Regions from separate parts of the Mus musculus genome. Here region 1 is reported to be linked to region 2. The links are microRNA targets in miRTarBase. Many come from high-throughput screens and were not tested one by one. Region 2 holds a microRNA gene; the other region holds the end of a gene's coding sequence.
The links. Region 2 holds the annotated microRNA mmu-miR-7033-5p (UCUCCAGGAGUCUGAGGGGCAGG, at 5,250-5,272, opposite strand). A microRNA usually pairs through its seed, bases 2 to 8, with sites in the 3' UTR of a target mRNA and lowers its output. Matches are read on the target gene's strand: a 7mer-m8 pairs with bases 2 to 8, a 7mer-A1 pairs with bases 2 to 7 and ends in A, and an 8mer does both.

Region 1: the mRNA of Npbwr1 is a reported target of mmu-miR-7033-5p. Seed matches in the 3' UTR shown: 7mer-A1 at 5,929-5,935 and 7mer-m8 at 5,084-5,090.

The regions. Positions count from the first base shown.
Region 1 is chr1:5,909,875-5,917,812 of GRCm38, forward strand. It overlaps Npbwr1 (neuropeptides B/W receptor 1), which reads right to left and starts at 7,524. Exons shown (of 1, transcript NM_010342.1): 1 at 3,833-7,524. The coding sequence starts at 7,419. The coding sequence ends at 6,430.
Region 2 is chr5:135,378,534-135,386,471 of GRCm38, forward strand. Mir7033 (microRNA 7033) reads right to left here and starts at 5,277; the gene lies at 5,197-5,277. Pom121 (nuclear pore membrane protein 121) reads right to left here. Exons shown (of 13, transcript NM_148932.2): 6 at 6,320-6,411; 7 at 5,560-5,633; 8 at 5,306-5,430; 9 at 5,094-5,196; 10 at 4,538-4,711; 11 at 2,387-4,003; 12 at 102-224.

The DNA of each region.
Region 1 (7,938 bases), not on the chromosome of region 2:
TTCCTTGATCTTTTGAAGGTATAAGTATATAACACTGACTTTATGTAAAGTCCAACCTGAAAGCTGCTTAAAGAATTACCAACATTATAGATTTATATGATTTTCTCTCATGATATTGTTTTTCATAATTCTTTATTCTTAATTTTTTTTCTTCATAACTTGCAATTAGTCACATGTTTTACGAGGTGACTAAACAACTTGGGCAAGAACACATCCCAGGTGGGTATTGTTCAGCATGTGCCACTTTACATGTGAATAATGCCATTAGTCATGCCAGACTGGGTTATGTGGTAAGCCAATCATACCACTGCTTTGTAAAAACAGTTCTTTCAGTTTTGCACTTGGTAAGCATTGTTTGGGGTGACACTGGCACTAGGCCAGTATCCTTGTTCCCAGTATGTCTCCTATCCAGGAGTTTTGATATATGTTGATGAGTCTTGCTTAAATCACCTATTCTAAACAGGCTGATGTTTTAACTGTGAAATGATGTAATTTTGTGTTTTAGTAGTTATTTATTCACAAAGAACAGTTGATGGTAGCTTTTCTCCTTTCAGCAGTTTCAGGTGATATTAGAATTATCATGATCATTTTAAAATACAAGGTGGCTATGAATGATTTATATGAGAATAGGGATGGTAAACAAAAAGATAAATGATGAACCGTTATATGATGACAAGGGAAAAAAAGGAACATACACACATCCAGGTAATGCAGTTAGTTGTCCATATGGCAGGAGGAAAGGGAACAGTATGACAGCTAAGATTTGAGGTGAAGGAATGCATACACATCTAGGCATACCATAACAAAATGGTGAAAGGGAAAAAGATAAAGGATATGCATAAATATACCCATTATAGTAACTAGTTAAACCAGAACACTTAACATAGAAGTGTGGCAATAGAGAAATGGGAAACATTTCTATATGTTCAATCTTTAGGAAATATTGTCACGAAAATGATAACTCAAAAGAAATATAGAAAGATAAGAACCCAGCAAGTGAAGTCAGGATGATGATAATATTGCTGATGCTTTCTTGTAAGTTTATCATGGTTCTTCCTGCTGATTTTTATGTTGAGTTTCTGTTTTATTTATTGTTGTTTTTTAATGTAGCATTGATGCAAATATAGAGCCCAATATTTTTGTGCAATCCTTCCTTACAGTGGCAGGAGCTCCTCTTTTCAAAGGTATGTACTCACTGATAAGCGGATATTAGGCAAAGAACATAGAATACTGGTGATACAACTCATGGACCACATGTAGCTCAAGAAAAAGGAAGACCAAAGAGTGGATGGTTCCTTCCTACTTAGAAGAAGGAACAAAATAATTAAGGGAAATAAAGAGTGGGAAGGACTTGGGACGAAAAGAAGAGGGGAAGGGGGAAAAGAAGGGAAGAATCAAGCATGGGAGGAGTTGGAGGAGATGTACAGAGGGTAAGCAAATTAAACAGAGGTGTATAGCAGTGAAGGATGTGGAACTGGGGGTAGCAACCAGAAAGTCCCTGATGCCAGGAAAGCAAAAGCCTCCCAGGACCCTACAGAGATGGCATTAGCCAAAACACCCCACAAAGGGGAGGGAGAGCCTGTCGTGACCATATCCAGAGATTAGACATTGTCCTCCTGGCTGAGGGATGTGGCCACCCACCCATCTCCAAAAGTTTAACCCAGAATTGCTCCTGTCTAAATGGCATACAAGGACAAAAAGTGGAGCAGAGACTGAAGGGAAGACTATCCAGAAACCTGGGGGATCTATCCCACATGCAGACATAAAACCGAGACTATATTGTGGATGCCAAGAAGTACTTGCTGACAGGAGCCTGATATAGCTGTCTCCTGAGAGGCTCTGCCAGAACCTGACCAATACAGATGTGGATGTACACAAACATTGGACTGAGCACGAGAACCCCAATGGGGAAGTTAGGGCATGGACTGTAGGAGCTGGAGGGATTTGCAACCTCATAGGAAGAACAACAATATCAACCAACCAGACTTCCCGGAGCTCCTAGGGAGTAAACCACCAACCAAAGAGTACACAGGGAGAACCCATGGCTCCAGCTGGATATGTAGCAGAGGATTTCCTTATCTGCCATCACTGGGAGGGGAACCCCTTGGTCCAGAGGAGGCTTGATGAAACAGAATAGGGGAATACCAGGCTGCTGTGGCAGGTGTGGGTGGGCAGTGGGAGAGCACCCTCATAGAGGCAGGAGGAGGGTGGAGGGGATCAGGGGCTTGTGGAGGGAAAACGGGGAAGGGGGATAACATTTGAAATGTAAATAAATAAAATAACCAATAAGAGAGATGTATATGGAGATTTCACTCTTCATTTTTTCCCTCTGCCTACTAATTGTATGACTTTCCCATAAAGAAAATATTTTCAAAACTTAGCAATTAAGTGATGTTATGGTAAAGTGATGTCCTACATTAACTCACCTTGAACTTGAATGCCATACCTAAAGCCTACTTGGAAAGTAGATTTCTGGGAATATCTCTTGTGCTTTAGTTATGACCCAGTACTGCAGTGTAACTACAGTGCTGACCACCCCACTACCCACAATGCAATTTGAGAACACCCACGAATATTGTCCACCAAGTATTTACCATGTAAGCTGAATGTGCCCAAATGTATTCTGGTCCACTATTTCACCTCTTTAATTGTTTCAAGTTTAACAAGGAGGAAGGTCCAAGTGAGGATGTTTCAATCCCACATAGAAGGGGGGGCAAAATAATCATGGGAGGCATAGAAAGAGAGGTGTCTGAGTGGGAGAGGGGAGAGGGAAGGGAAGTGGGACATGATCAGATATGGTGGTGTTTTTAGAGGGGGAGACAGGAGAAAAGCCCAGAGGGTCAGGAGAACAAATGGAAATTTGCAGCTGAGAGAGTGGGGATCAAGGGGAATCTCTAGATGGCTCCCAGATGTGAGAGGCTCCCAGGAATCAATGGGAATGACCTTAGCCAAAATACCCAACAGTGGGGAGATGGAATCTGAAGAGACCACCTCCAGTAGAGAGATAGGGCCTCCAGTGGAGGTTTGGAGTCACCAACCTACCTTCAAACTTTTTGATCCAGAATTGCTCCTGTCTAAAGAAAATACAGGGACAAAATTGGAGCAGAGACTAAAGGAAAGGTCATCCAGTGACCGGCCCAACTTCGGATCCATCCCATGGGCAGACATCAAACCCTGACACTATTATGTTGTGATAGCAAACAGGAGTCTAGCATGGTTGTCCTCTGAGAGGCTCTACCAGCAGCTTACTAAGACACATGCAGATGCTTACAGCCAACCATTGGAGTGATGTTGGGATCCCTGCGGAAGAGTTAGGGGAAAGACTGAAGGAGCAAAGAGGAGAGCAGATGAGGTGAAGAACTCTTGGAGGGAAGACTGGGAAGGGGAGCAACATCTGGAATGTGAATGAATAAAGCAGTTTTTAAAAGTAAAATAAAGTATAACCTTTAACTGAGCATGCTTAGTTGCATCCATCTAACTGAGTATGCTCAGATGTGCATGTCCCTGAAGTGCTTTCTCATATGCATATCTGTAGGCTTTCCGAATAAAACCCCTGCTGTTCCCAGTTCCAATGAAAGCATGGCCTGGTACCATTTCTCAAGCTCACTCACCTGCTGCAGGTAATCTTTCTCCACTCTTTTCTCTTGGCATTGCTTGTTTTAGCTTTCTATTCATGTGATACATACCCATTGTATGGCATAAGAGTCCTTTTTTGTTTGTTCATTTGGTTGATTGTTTAGTTGTTTTGGTTTTCGGAGGTAAGTGGCTGTTGTTGCAGTTGTTTATATTTTATTTTTGGTAGGCTTTTTTTTTGAAACACAATATACACTTGTCACACAGAATGTTTCACCTTTTATTTTAGACTTGGATCTTCTGCAATCAATTAGCAAATTGCTGCATTTCTTGAGAAAGCATTAAACCCACTTTATACAATTATACTAAAATAAGTAAAACCAAATTCACACTTTTAGATATTAGAAGCGTTAAAACAACATAGTTTACACCAAGGCTGTAAGAACTATGGAATTACAAATTTTCCTACTATGTGACTTGTTTATTTATTCTATGTTTTACTTAAGAGATAAAAGGTTAAATATAGATGCCTTATATTTATATATTTATTTATATATAACTGCCCAAATGCTCACAGAAAGGTGAAGTGATCACGAGGGGCTTTAGAAAGCCAGTGTGACACTGATATTGAATCCTCTTGATGCAAACTAGACTTCCAGTCTGTACTGAGCTGTGATGGGTACAGTTATATCTCTCTTGTGTTTTTCCGGCAGCATCCAGAGACTGCAAGACAGACATAAACCTATCTCTAGCAGCAATGGCATGACAGACAGAAAACTACCAGGACCTCCTTCTTATCTATGTTGCTGCTGCATGTATGGAGACTGGGTTTCCAATTAATGTGACAGTACTTGGCTGTATCTGTGTCCAAAGCTCCACTGCATCCTTTATTATCACCCTGGATGAGCTACAGGTTGCTCAATTTTAAAATCCTAATTTGGAAAAATTACAGAAAATCATACAAAATTTAAGTTTTAAAAGAAATATCTGTGGAGTGCTTCCCAGAAGTCTGAAGCTTATGAACACATTCCAGACACTTCTGAAGGCCACAGCAGAGGCCCGTTCTGAGGCCATGATGACCATGGTTCAAGTGCATGACTGATGGACAACTTTTAGACAATTTACTGTTATTTGCACCCAAGACACACAGCCTCTAAATTAGTTTTCTCAGTTTGTACTTGAAAATTACCCCAATCTTCCCACAACTCTGACACCGTAGGAACCAATCAATTCTCATACACCAAAATCAGAGGGAAATTTAGCCTTCCTCTTGCAAGAGAGAGTATTTCCCTTCTGCATATTTTTGAAGGGAACATTGAATACAAATAACTGAGAAATAATTGACTTTCATGCCAAACTTTGTAAACAAAGTCTGCTGGCAAGAGTCTTGGTTCCACATATAACCAAACTTTCCCATAGGAAAAATGATACTTGAAAATCATATCATTTCTTCCTGGGGATCATCCTAAACATATCGTTTAAAAGACGCTATCACTGATGAGTCTGGTTACTCCAGGCCTCGAGGAGGAGGCCTGGAGCTTGTCTTCCATAAGTAGAGACTAAAGAGAGGAAAGTAGGTGTTGACTGTTCCCTGTGGGTAATCAGAAGCAGATGTTCCCCGGGACTTTAGAATTGGACAAAATTTAGATGTTCCTTGTGGTTAGGTAAGTGTCCAGACAAGAAAAAGCTAGGGATGCAAGGCGGTTCCCGTACCTGGATCTCACTGAAGGGAGGTCCTGGAAGAATACTCAGGGAAGGGGAACCATAGTTGGAACAGGTCTCATCTTTTATTTCTCATATTCCTCTAAGTTAAGAAGACTGTGAGAGTAAGATATATGTATTATTTACAAAGTTCTTGGTCCAGAAAAACTGTACATAGTTACAAGGAAATGGTCTAAGTTGTATGGGAAGCCTGTGAAGGCTATGAGGCAGGAAGGAAATTTTGGACTACTTTACAGAAGCTACAAAGGACCAAAGATTTAAAGAGCTGTTGGCTGGTGCACCACCCTGTGCAAAAGCAGCTCAGAAACGTTCTGTACACCTGACTCCTCTAGAGGGAGCTGGAACCTCACTCTCCGGTGATTTCTCTGTACTCTTGGCTTTTGCAGCCTCGGTTAAAGTCTTTTTAGGGCCATATAGATCGGCTTCGGTAAAACGAAGAAAGGTGGGGCATACTGAGCAGGTGATTATCTCTATTCTTGTCAGTCACAGCTAGGTTCTAGCCCCCTTCACCACCACCACCACACCACCACACCACCATACCACCACACCACCACACCACCACACCACCACACCTCCACACCACCACACCTCCACTCTAACACACACACACACACACACACACACACACACACATCTCCAGTGAGGCGTGGCCAGGCAGTTAGAGTGTTCCTAAGAAGCATCAGGCCAGGCTGTTTACCAGGGAGGTCATCCGTGGTGGAAAGCAAAGAAACAAAATACACAGACTTAACGCTGAGGAAGAGATGCCTGGGACATCCTAGGAGCCTACTCACAGTGAAATAGAGAGAGAATTAAAATCACGTTCCAACAACACTGCCCCACCATTTACCCTACGTTCAGGTGTCAAGCCCTGCCCTCAGCTGTGGGGACAAAATAGTAAGGTGCCCTGGCCCAAGCTGTCCTCAGGCATGCTACACACCAGCCTCACCTCAAGGCCGGGCAAATCCCGGATCAGTCCTGGTTAGGGCCTGTGGTATCAGTCCTGGGTAGGGCCTGTGGTACTGAATGCCTGGAATGGGCCTCAGGATTTCGGGCTGCACTTGGGAACCACAGTCCCGGAATTCTCCTGAACCCAGCTGGCAGTGCTGCCTGCGGTGGAAAGAGGTGGAAAGGGCATCAGGCTGAACGGCATGACACCAATTGCCGGAGGCTTCTGCGGAAGCTGTCGTCCAGGAAGGCATAGAGGAAAGGGTTGAGGCAGCTGTTAGCATAGCTCAGGCTGGTGATGAAGTAAGAGATGCCGATGACCAGCGGCGTTTGCGGGAGGTCGGTGGTGAGGGCCACTATGGTACTCAGGTGATAAGGCGTCCAGCAGAGGAGGCACACAGCCAGAATCGCCGCCACCAACAAGGTCACGCGCTTCTTGGCACGATCCAGGGCCTTGGCGTGGCTATCTAGCTGGATAGCACGCAGTCGGCAGAGCAGAGTGGTATAGAGAGCACAGATGGTGGTCACCGGGATGGCAAAGCCCAATACTAGTGTGTAGAGACGGCTGGCACGCCACCAGAAGGCCTCGGGCTGCGGGAAGACCAGCACGCACTGGCGCCGACCCTGCTCCTCGTCCAGCCGAGCGAATACCGCAAAGGGCAGCACGACCAGCGTCACCAGCGCCCACACCGCCAGACTGACAGCACGCGCTGCACCGTAAGTGCGCCCGGACACCCGGCGCGACTCTGCTGTGGCCAGAACCACCAGGTATCGGTCGGCGCTCATGACGGCGAGGAAGTAGAGGCTAGAGAAAGTGTTGTACTGGTCGACGGCTACAATGAGCTTGCACATGACCTCCCCGAAGGGCCAGCGCCTCAGCAGGAAGTCCGCGATGTTGATGGGCAGCACGAGGGTGAAGAGCTCATCGGCGATAGCCAGGTTGAGGATGAACACGTTGGTGACAGTCTTCATGCGCGGCGTGCGCAGCAGTACGTACAGCACCGCAGAGTTGCCAGCCAGTCCCACGGCGCAAATTACCCCGTAGACGACAGGCACTGCTACCGCCAGTGGCTGCGGCAGCGGCAGAGGAGCCAGGCTGGACCCGTTGGGACAGCCCAAAGATGAGCCGCCGCAAGACACGTTGTCCCCTCCAGACTCGAAAAGCGTTAAGTTATGCATCTTGGAGAGGGCTGGAGAGCAGGCGACCACCAGGATTCCACTCAGCAGCCCCGCGAAACTCGAGGTTTATGCGCCCACGTTTACAGGGATCTGCACCCAGGCACTGCCTGAGTGTCACAGCTTTTCTCTGGATGCGCACCGGAGGGGGCGTTCCCCGCTGCTACTAAGCTCGCTGACGCCGGGACTCCAAGGCTGGAGACAGAATTGAAAACACAGCTTACATTTCTGGAGGTATAGCTTTAAGGAGAAATGAGGTCCATAGAAAGTAGCTACAGTGTCCCAAGCTCTTCTCTCCACCTGTGGAAATCAGATTCCAGTCCACTGAATACATCAAAGTGCTATGCAGAAGCCACTTGACTCCTAGGAAACCGTAAATGCACCCAATCCCCTGTTTTAGAGCTTAAGGAATTCACACTGAGGTCACACCGGCGAATTCAGCAGAGGTGTGTTTCCGAGCACGCTAGATAATAGGACTTGCAACAGCAATCTTTATCTTACCTGGCGAGTCCCAGCAAAGAT
Region 2 (7,938 bases):
CCAACTTCCCTGGACCCTGAGGAACAGCAACCTGCTATATTCCTAATCACTCCTCACTCAAGGGACAAGGACACCATGTTGGCAGCAGACTGGTGGCTTACCAAAAGGTCCAACTCCAACAAAGCCTTGGGCAGGTGTTGAAGAGGCCCCAAATGAGAGGCTGCTCCCTGTGGTGCCTACGCCGGGGGCAGGGGCACTCTGCCCGAAAGTAGGTGTAGATGTGCCTAAAAGGGAGACAGAAAAAAGTTAGAAACTAGACCATTATCAGGCCTATCCCCAGCACCCAGAGCTGATGAAGCCAGCCTCTGCCACCTCTCCATTATGCAACTGCAGTGAGATGGGGGAGAGGGTGAGGCGTGCTGTCAGGTTAATCCCTCCCTGGTTCCCTGCCCCTTCTTTCTCATTCATCTGTAGGGTCCCCCTCCTTCCCAGGATGCTCTGCTCTGTATAATGTCTCAGGGCTGTCTGTCTCTGATGCTGCTTCCAGACCACTTCTCTCCCCTCCTACCTCAAACACTCAATTCCATTGTTATGCTGTTTTTGAGACTGGGTCTTCTGCTTAGCCCAGGTTGGCCTTCAACTCTCCAACCTCCTGCCCAAACCTAAGTGCTGGGATGGCAGGCATGCCATACCACACCCAGGCCAATTCCCGAGGTTTGGGTCCCAGACTCTTATTAACAGTTCTGGTCCTTTGGAGGGTCATCTATCAGTCAATCACCTCCCCCACCTAGGATCCTGAATCATCACCCTCCCCATCACCATTCTTAAGTGACTTCACAAGACTCAGGACCTTTTAGTGCTAATCACACACACACAGAGCCTGAGTATTATCTGGTGTGTTTGTGTGTGTGTTTGCACCAGAGTAGTACTCATCTATGGGAGAGTACAGAAGCCAGAGGTTGACACTGGGTGTCTCTGGAGCTCTCCCTGAGCTGGAGCTGCCTATTTTGGGTCTCCTGCCCATGCGCTCTGCCTACCTCCACACCCAGCATTGAGATTACAGGTTGCCACTGCCTCATCAAGCTTCTTAGCACAGGAGACTGAATCAGATCCCCACCCTTCAAGCATCAGGCACTGGCTACTGAGCTGTCTCCCCAGCCCCATCCACCTACTTATTCCAGACGCTGCAAGCCTTCCACTGTCTCTCATTACATCCCCTTTCTCATGTTCCCAGCAACTCCCTCAACAGATCTGCATCCTGCCCTTGGCCATCTTCTCCAATTCACAAGAGATTCTCTCCTATTTACCAAAGAAGTCAGCGGCTCTTAGGGCCAAAATTTACCCTGCACGCAGCAGATGAGACCCTTAAGCTTAAAATTCTATTGTGACTTCCCTGGACATTTAAAATCCAGACAATGAACCTAGCTATGACCAACCTTGTACTCTGCCAGCAGCATTGCAATCTCCAGCCAATCGTGCCTTATTCTCTGCTCATGAACCTACCTTCTGCTTCTGCCTCTATGCCCTGACAGTACCCTTCCCTGCAGCCTGCGGTGGGTATACGTCTATCACTGTAGCATTTGGGAAGATGAAGTATGAAGATCTTGAATTTGAGGGCAGCCTGGGCTACACTAGAAAACAGTATCAAACACACACATAGACAACACAAACAAGGAGCGAGTGAGCTGGCTCTGCGTGAAGACGACAAGCACTCGCAGCACAAGCCTGGCCACCTGAGGTATAGCCTCAGAATTAAGAAGTAAGGGGAAAGCAGAAAACCAACTCCATAAAGTTATATCCAGATCCCTATCTGTAAACCATGGTAACATGCATGTACACATAGACACGCATGGTGGACACACACACACTATAAATTACAACAGCTGAGAAGATGGCCTGGTGAGTTAAAAGTCCTTCCTGTGCAGCATGAGCAACCATATGAAATAAAGCTAAGGATGACCGTATACACCAAACATCTTTTCCTTTCATTAATAAACCTAGATTCAATTTCTAGCACCCACACAGCAGCTCACAGGTCCCAGGGATCTAACACCCTCTTCTAGCTGCTGTGGGCACCAGCACACATGTGGTATACAGACATACGCACAGCCAAAAGACACATACACATAATATCTATCTTTTAAAGTTTTTTTTTTTAAAGTATGTGTGTGCATACAAAATGCAGTGCCCATGGAGGCAGATGAAGGCATCAGACACTTGAAGCCGCAGCTATAGGCAGTGACAGCCACCTGATGTGTGTGCTAGGACTAAATTTGGGTTCCCTTTAAGATCAGGAAGTCTTACCCGCTGAGCCATCTCTCCAACCCTCCAGGAACCTTTCCTGACTACACAGGATTCCTCCCATGCTAGTTTGGATTGCCAGTTGGCTTTTAACATTGCAGGCAGACTATTGTGCACTCACCCTTAACAGGCTTGCCAAACTTACCTCCAAACACAGGCTTGCTTTCAGGTGTACTGCCCACACTGAAGGCAAAGGGTGAGCCCTGGCTGGGTGCGCCCAGGGTGTTCTGACTCAGACTTCCAAAGGAGGTGGTGGTGCCCGGGGTCCCACTCTGTCCAGATCCAAAGCTGAAAGTTCCAGAGGTGGAGCTGGTGCCTGGGGTAGCACTAAGGCCAAAGCCTCCACTGCCAGCAGGAGCTGCTGAGCCACCGAATGTGAATGGGGATGGAGCAGAGCTGCCAAACAGAGAGCTGCTGCTCCCACTGTTGGTGGTCTGTGTGGTGGTAGCAGCGGTGGCAGCAGCACCAAAGCCAGATGTGGTAGCTGACCCAAAGGAGAACACAGACGTGGTGCTACCAAAAGCTGGCTGAGTGCTGGCAGGGGCGCCGAAGGTGGAGGCTGCGGCTTTCAACCCTCCGAAAGCTGGCTGTGCAGCACTGCCAAAGGTGGCTGGTGCTGGGGCTGCCGATGGGGCTGAGGCCACAGAGTTGCCGAAAGTGAACGAGCTGCCAAAACTTGGGGCAAGTGCTGGCTTGGTGGCCCCATCGGTGGCTCCAAATGTGGGCTGTGAGTTGGCTCCAGGGTAGGTTGGGAGCGCAGGCTTGGCACTGGAGCTAAAGGGAATGTTGAAGGTGGGGGTGACAGTGTTGCTGAAGGTCAGCGTGGGCTGACTGGTGGTGGCAGGGGCCGAGGTGGAGGTGGTGAGGGTGCTGCCAAAACCACTGAAGCCACTATTGCTGGCAGCAGTCTGGGTAGAGCTGGCAAGGGGCTGGCTAAAGGAGGTGCCTGCTGCAGATGCTGCTGGGGCAAGAGGCTTGCCAAACTGGAAGATGGAGGCCAGAGCTGGGGCAGAGCTAGAAGTAGTAACAGGGGGGGCTCCCCCGAACAGAACTGACTGGGAAGTGGAAGTCATGGTACTGCTGGCAGTACTCGCTGCAGTGGTCACTCCAAAGCCAAAGACAGGCTTTGAGGCAGAAGCTGCGGTGCCAGAGGCCACCGTGGAAGTGGCAGTGCCCAGGCCAGTAAAGAGAGGAGCTGATGTGGCTGTAGTGGTGGCTGTAGCAGTTGTCTGCTTCAGGGAGAAGGGAGTTGACAGGGGCATGGCTGTGAATGGCTCCATCTTGTCAAAAATGGGCTTGAACGTGGGTGTGGTGCTGGCTGCTGTGGGAGGGGCGGTGCTGGATGAAGCTGTAGTGGCGGCTGAGGAGCTACTTGGTAAGGGGCTATCACTCTCACTTTTAGGTGTGGCTGGAAAAATGGGCTTAAACATGGGAGAAGCACAAGCCGGAGCTGGAGTGGCAAGGGAGGAAGAGCTGGCAGGTGGACTCAGCATCCCAAACAGCATGCTGGGCTTTGGGGTCGGGGAGGAGGCTGTGGAGGCTGGGGTGCTGACAGACTGCTCAGCCTGAGAGACTCCAGAGGACTTGCTGTCAGTGAGTGGGGTTATAGACGAAGCAGAAGCCAGCCCCAGGAAGGTGGCTGCAGGTTTGGAGTCTGAGGAGGTGCTGGCTAGGGGCCCTGCCAGTGGTGAGACAAGAGGGGCCAAGAGGCTGGGTGTCTTCGGAGGTGAAGGGGCTGCAACTGTTGCTGCCTCAGCAGGTTCTGAGAAGAAAAGGAAGTGAGGTGAGTCTTGAGGGTGTCTGAGGGCGGCACTCAGCACGCCTGCCCCCTCCAGCAGCCACCACACCAGGACTCCCAGATTCCAGGAAAGGCGGAAGGGAAGAGTAGGGAGCCTGACTGGAGCTGCACATGTGGCCATGAAGGAGAACGCTACTCCTGCAACTGTCTGCACTGCCTTACACACACAGGTGCCTGCTCATCTCAAAGAGCCACCATGTTCACCACCCTAGCAAAACGGTGCCTGCCTGGCCCCGAGCTGCATCAGCACGCCTGCACTCCAGTGTGAGAAGTCAGCTACACAGTGTGTGCATGTGCAGTAGCACGAAGGCACTAGCTGGCAAGGTTCACCAGCCTTACCCAACACCTTCAATTTATCAATGACACAGATTCGGGGCAGCTGCCTTTGAATCACAGTATTACAGCTGTCCCTGTGTATTTCCAGACCAGGGCAGTCTGAAGCCTCTCACTGCCATCATGTCAAAAGCCTGTAACCCTAGGGCACACTGCTCTGCTTACCCGAGGATGATGGGGCTGGAGACTCCTGCATCTTCTTCAAGCTCTCCAACAGTGGGTTAGAGCTGGGAGCCGGGAGGGAGGCTGGCGAGGCAGCAGGCCCCACAGCGGGCAGGGTGAATGTGAAGGGAGGGCTGGTGGAAGGGGGGCCATCAGTGGCTGAGGCGGAAGCATCATCTGGAGGAGAGACAAGCCTCTTACATGGGAGCTCCTTCCTTCCTAACCTCACTGCTGGCTCCCGGCCTGCGCTCCAGCACTCGGGACACAGTAACATTATTGTCACAAACAACAAAACTTCCATGTCCCATGGGAAAAGTATTAGTGACAGTTCCTGTTAATAAGAGCCCTGGTGGAATCAGGGGGGACAAACATCTAAGAGCTGGTTGTAATGGTGCACATTTGCAACCCTGCACTTTGGAGGCTGAAGCAGGAGGAGGATTATGACCCTGAAGACAGCCTTGGATAATGAATGGAAAAATCAAGTATTCTACAACTGCTCTTCCAAGGAAAGCTAAAAGGAATACAGAGACACTGCGGAGCACACTGCGCCCAGCCTGACCTGGCTTGTCCTCCAAGACCTTGTTAAACCATTGCAGTGAGGCTTTCCTCTCCATGTCCAGGTCTTCAGCAGTGATGGAATAGCCAAGCTCTGGGGGTGGAGGCTGCCCAAGAGAATGGAGGCAGGTTAGGCCAAGCCCAAGATGCTGGAGACGACCCTGCCCCTCAGACTCCTGGAGACTAAAAGAGCCGAGAAGGATAGACAAGACATACCAAGGTGAGCTGGTCCCCTCGCCGGGAGGGCAGCAGCTGGATCTTGCGTTTGCGTTGCCCGGAGCTGCCAGGTGTGGGTGGGGAAGTCCATGAGCTCTGCTGCTTCCCAGTGGTTGTATCTGTAACTACAGACAGAAACACAGGCTTGCTGACCTCCCTACTCAAGGACAAGACGATCTTCCCTGCCCCACCCAGAGTAACACGGTGAACTTCACTGGAGATGCTCCTCTCGGGCCCATGGCTTCTCTACCTACCCTTTTCTCCTGGGGACTCCTTGTCTGTCACCAAGGGAGGTGAAGAACTGGACTGCTGACATGGCTCCTCCTCTCTGTGGGGATTGTGAAAGCTAGATGTTATTTGGGAAGGCCTGGAGACGGCACAGCACCTCACACACACACTTGCACACTCCCATGGCTCTAGTGTCAGCATATCACCATGTGGCAGTTCTTGTAGAAACGAAGGCAGGCAGTTGTTATAGGCCATGAGCAACCAGCCTTTAATCAAATATAGACCAGGGATCTGCAAAGCTTCCCTCAGAGCCTGCCAAGTCCAGGCCCCAGACTGCATCTTCAGGCTCTAACAGCAGATTAGTGCTAGGAGCGAGGAGTGAAGCTGGTGAGAAAGCAGGCCCGTGACAGGCAGACAGATAGGGAAAATAAAAAAGACTGGGTGGCAGGTGAGGCCAGACACAGACAGACCTGATCCCCGAGGGAGCCGAGCTCCAGTGAAGGGTGAGCTGGGGCCAGGGACTCAGGCTCCCTGCTGACCCGGTCCACTCTGCACTCCACTCCCAGTGGCCTCTGCACCACTCCCACTGGAGTATGAGACAGAGAAGGGACCCCAACCATCAGTTGCTCACACTGTAGGACAAGGACACAACTCTAGCAGGCACTTTGCTGCTCTTGTATGGTTTGACTCTGATTTGCTGAGTCAGATAAAGCAGCCCAACAGCTAATCCTTGTTAAACCCGCTGCCCCTGTCCACACAAAGTGACCAGAAGGGACCGGTCATCACCTTGTCTTCTTGGCTGGCCTCTCTGGTGTCTGGGAGCGGGAGGAAGCTGGACTGGAGAAGGGAGAAGATGTGGGACCACTCCTCTTCCACAGCTGCAAGTCAAGCAGAGAGACAATCTGAAACTACTACTGACAATATGGCTATGTAGGCAGATATTCTGACCTGGCCAGGCAGGAAGGCACACACCTTTAATCCCAGCACTAAGGAGGCAGAGGTGGATAGATTTCTGTGAGTTCAAGGCCAGCCTGCTCTACATAGTGAGCTCCAGAACAGCCAGGGTTACTGAGAGACTGTCTCAAAAAACTAAAAGAAAAAAAAAAATCAAGAAACACAGCAAAACTAAACCTTTCTGAGAGACTGGAGAGATGGCTCAGTGGTTAAGAAACACTTGCTGCTCTTGAAGAAGACCCATGTTTGGTTCCCAGCATCCACACCAGACTGCTCACAAATACTGTAACCCTGTTCCTAGGATGATGGATGCTTTCTGGCCTCACACAGGCTCAAATAAATAAAAATATCTTTCTTTTCTTTTTTTAAGACCATATCTTACTGCATAGCCCTGGCTGCAATTTACTATGTAGGCCAGGCTGGTCTTGTTAGAGTATTCCACCACATACTGCAAAATAATAAATCTTAAAAAAAGAAATAAAAGGACTGGAGAGATGGCTCAGCAGTTAAGAGCACTGGCTGCTCTTCCAGAGGTCCTGAGTTCAATTCCCAGCAACCACATGGTGGCTCACAACCATCTATAATGGGATCAGATGCCCTTTTCTGGGGTGTCTGACAGCTGCAGTGTACTCATATACATAAAAATAATAAATATCTTAAAAAAGAAATAAAGAGGTAATTCTTGTATTCATTACATATTCTAACAAAAATCATCTATAGTAAAAAGTACAGCCTCTATTTTTACAGATTCTGATATTCCATGAATATGAGTATTAGATACAAACTGGGCATGGTGGTGCAAGCTGAACACCTAGTGCTTGGAGGCTGAGGCAGGAGGATCACTACTAGTTAAAACCCAGCCTGAGCTGCATGCACAATAGCCAGGGATACATGAGACCTTGTCTCAAAAGGCAAAAGCAAACACCAAGGGCGACTGATCTACCTGCAGGAGCCTGTGCACCTCCTAGTGTCAATACCAATACTGGAGCCCAAGTGTGCCTGACAGTGGAGCTGCCTGGCTTCCCCACCTATGGGCTCTAACGAACTCTAAACAAGAATGACATCTACTTCATGAATCAAAGCTTACACTAAATCCTACTTGCCTATAAATCTCCTTTATACACCATTGCATACACTAGCAAGCGTTTGCTGAAAGGACCCTGATATAGCTGTCTCTTGTGAGTCTAGGCCGGGGCCTAGCAAACACATAAGTGGATGCTCACAGTCAGCTATTGGATGGATCACAGGGCCCCCAATGGAGGAGCTAGAGAAAGTACCCAAGGAGCTAAAGAGATCTGCAACCCTGCAGGTGCAACAACATTATGAACTAACCAGTACCCCGGAGCTCTTGTCTCTAGCTACATATATATCAAAAGATGGCCTAGTTGGTCATTACTGGAAAGAGAGGCCCATTGGACACGCAAACTTTATATGCCCCAGTACAGAGGAAC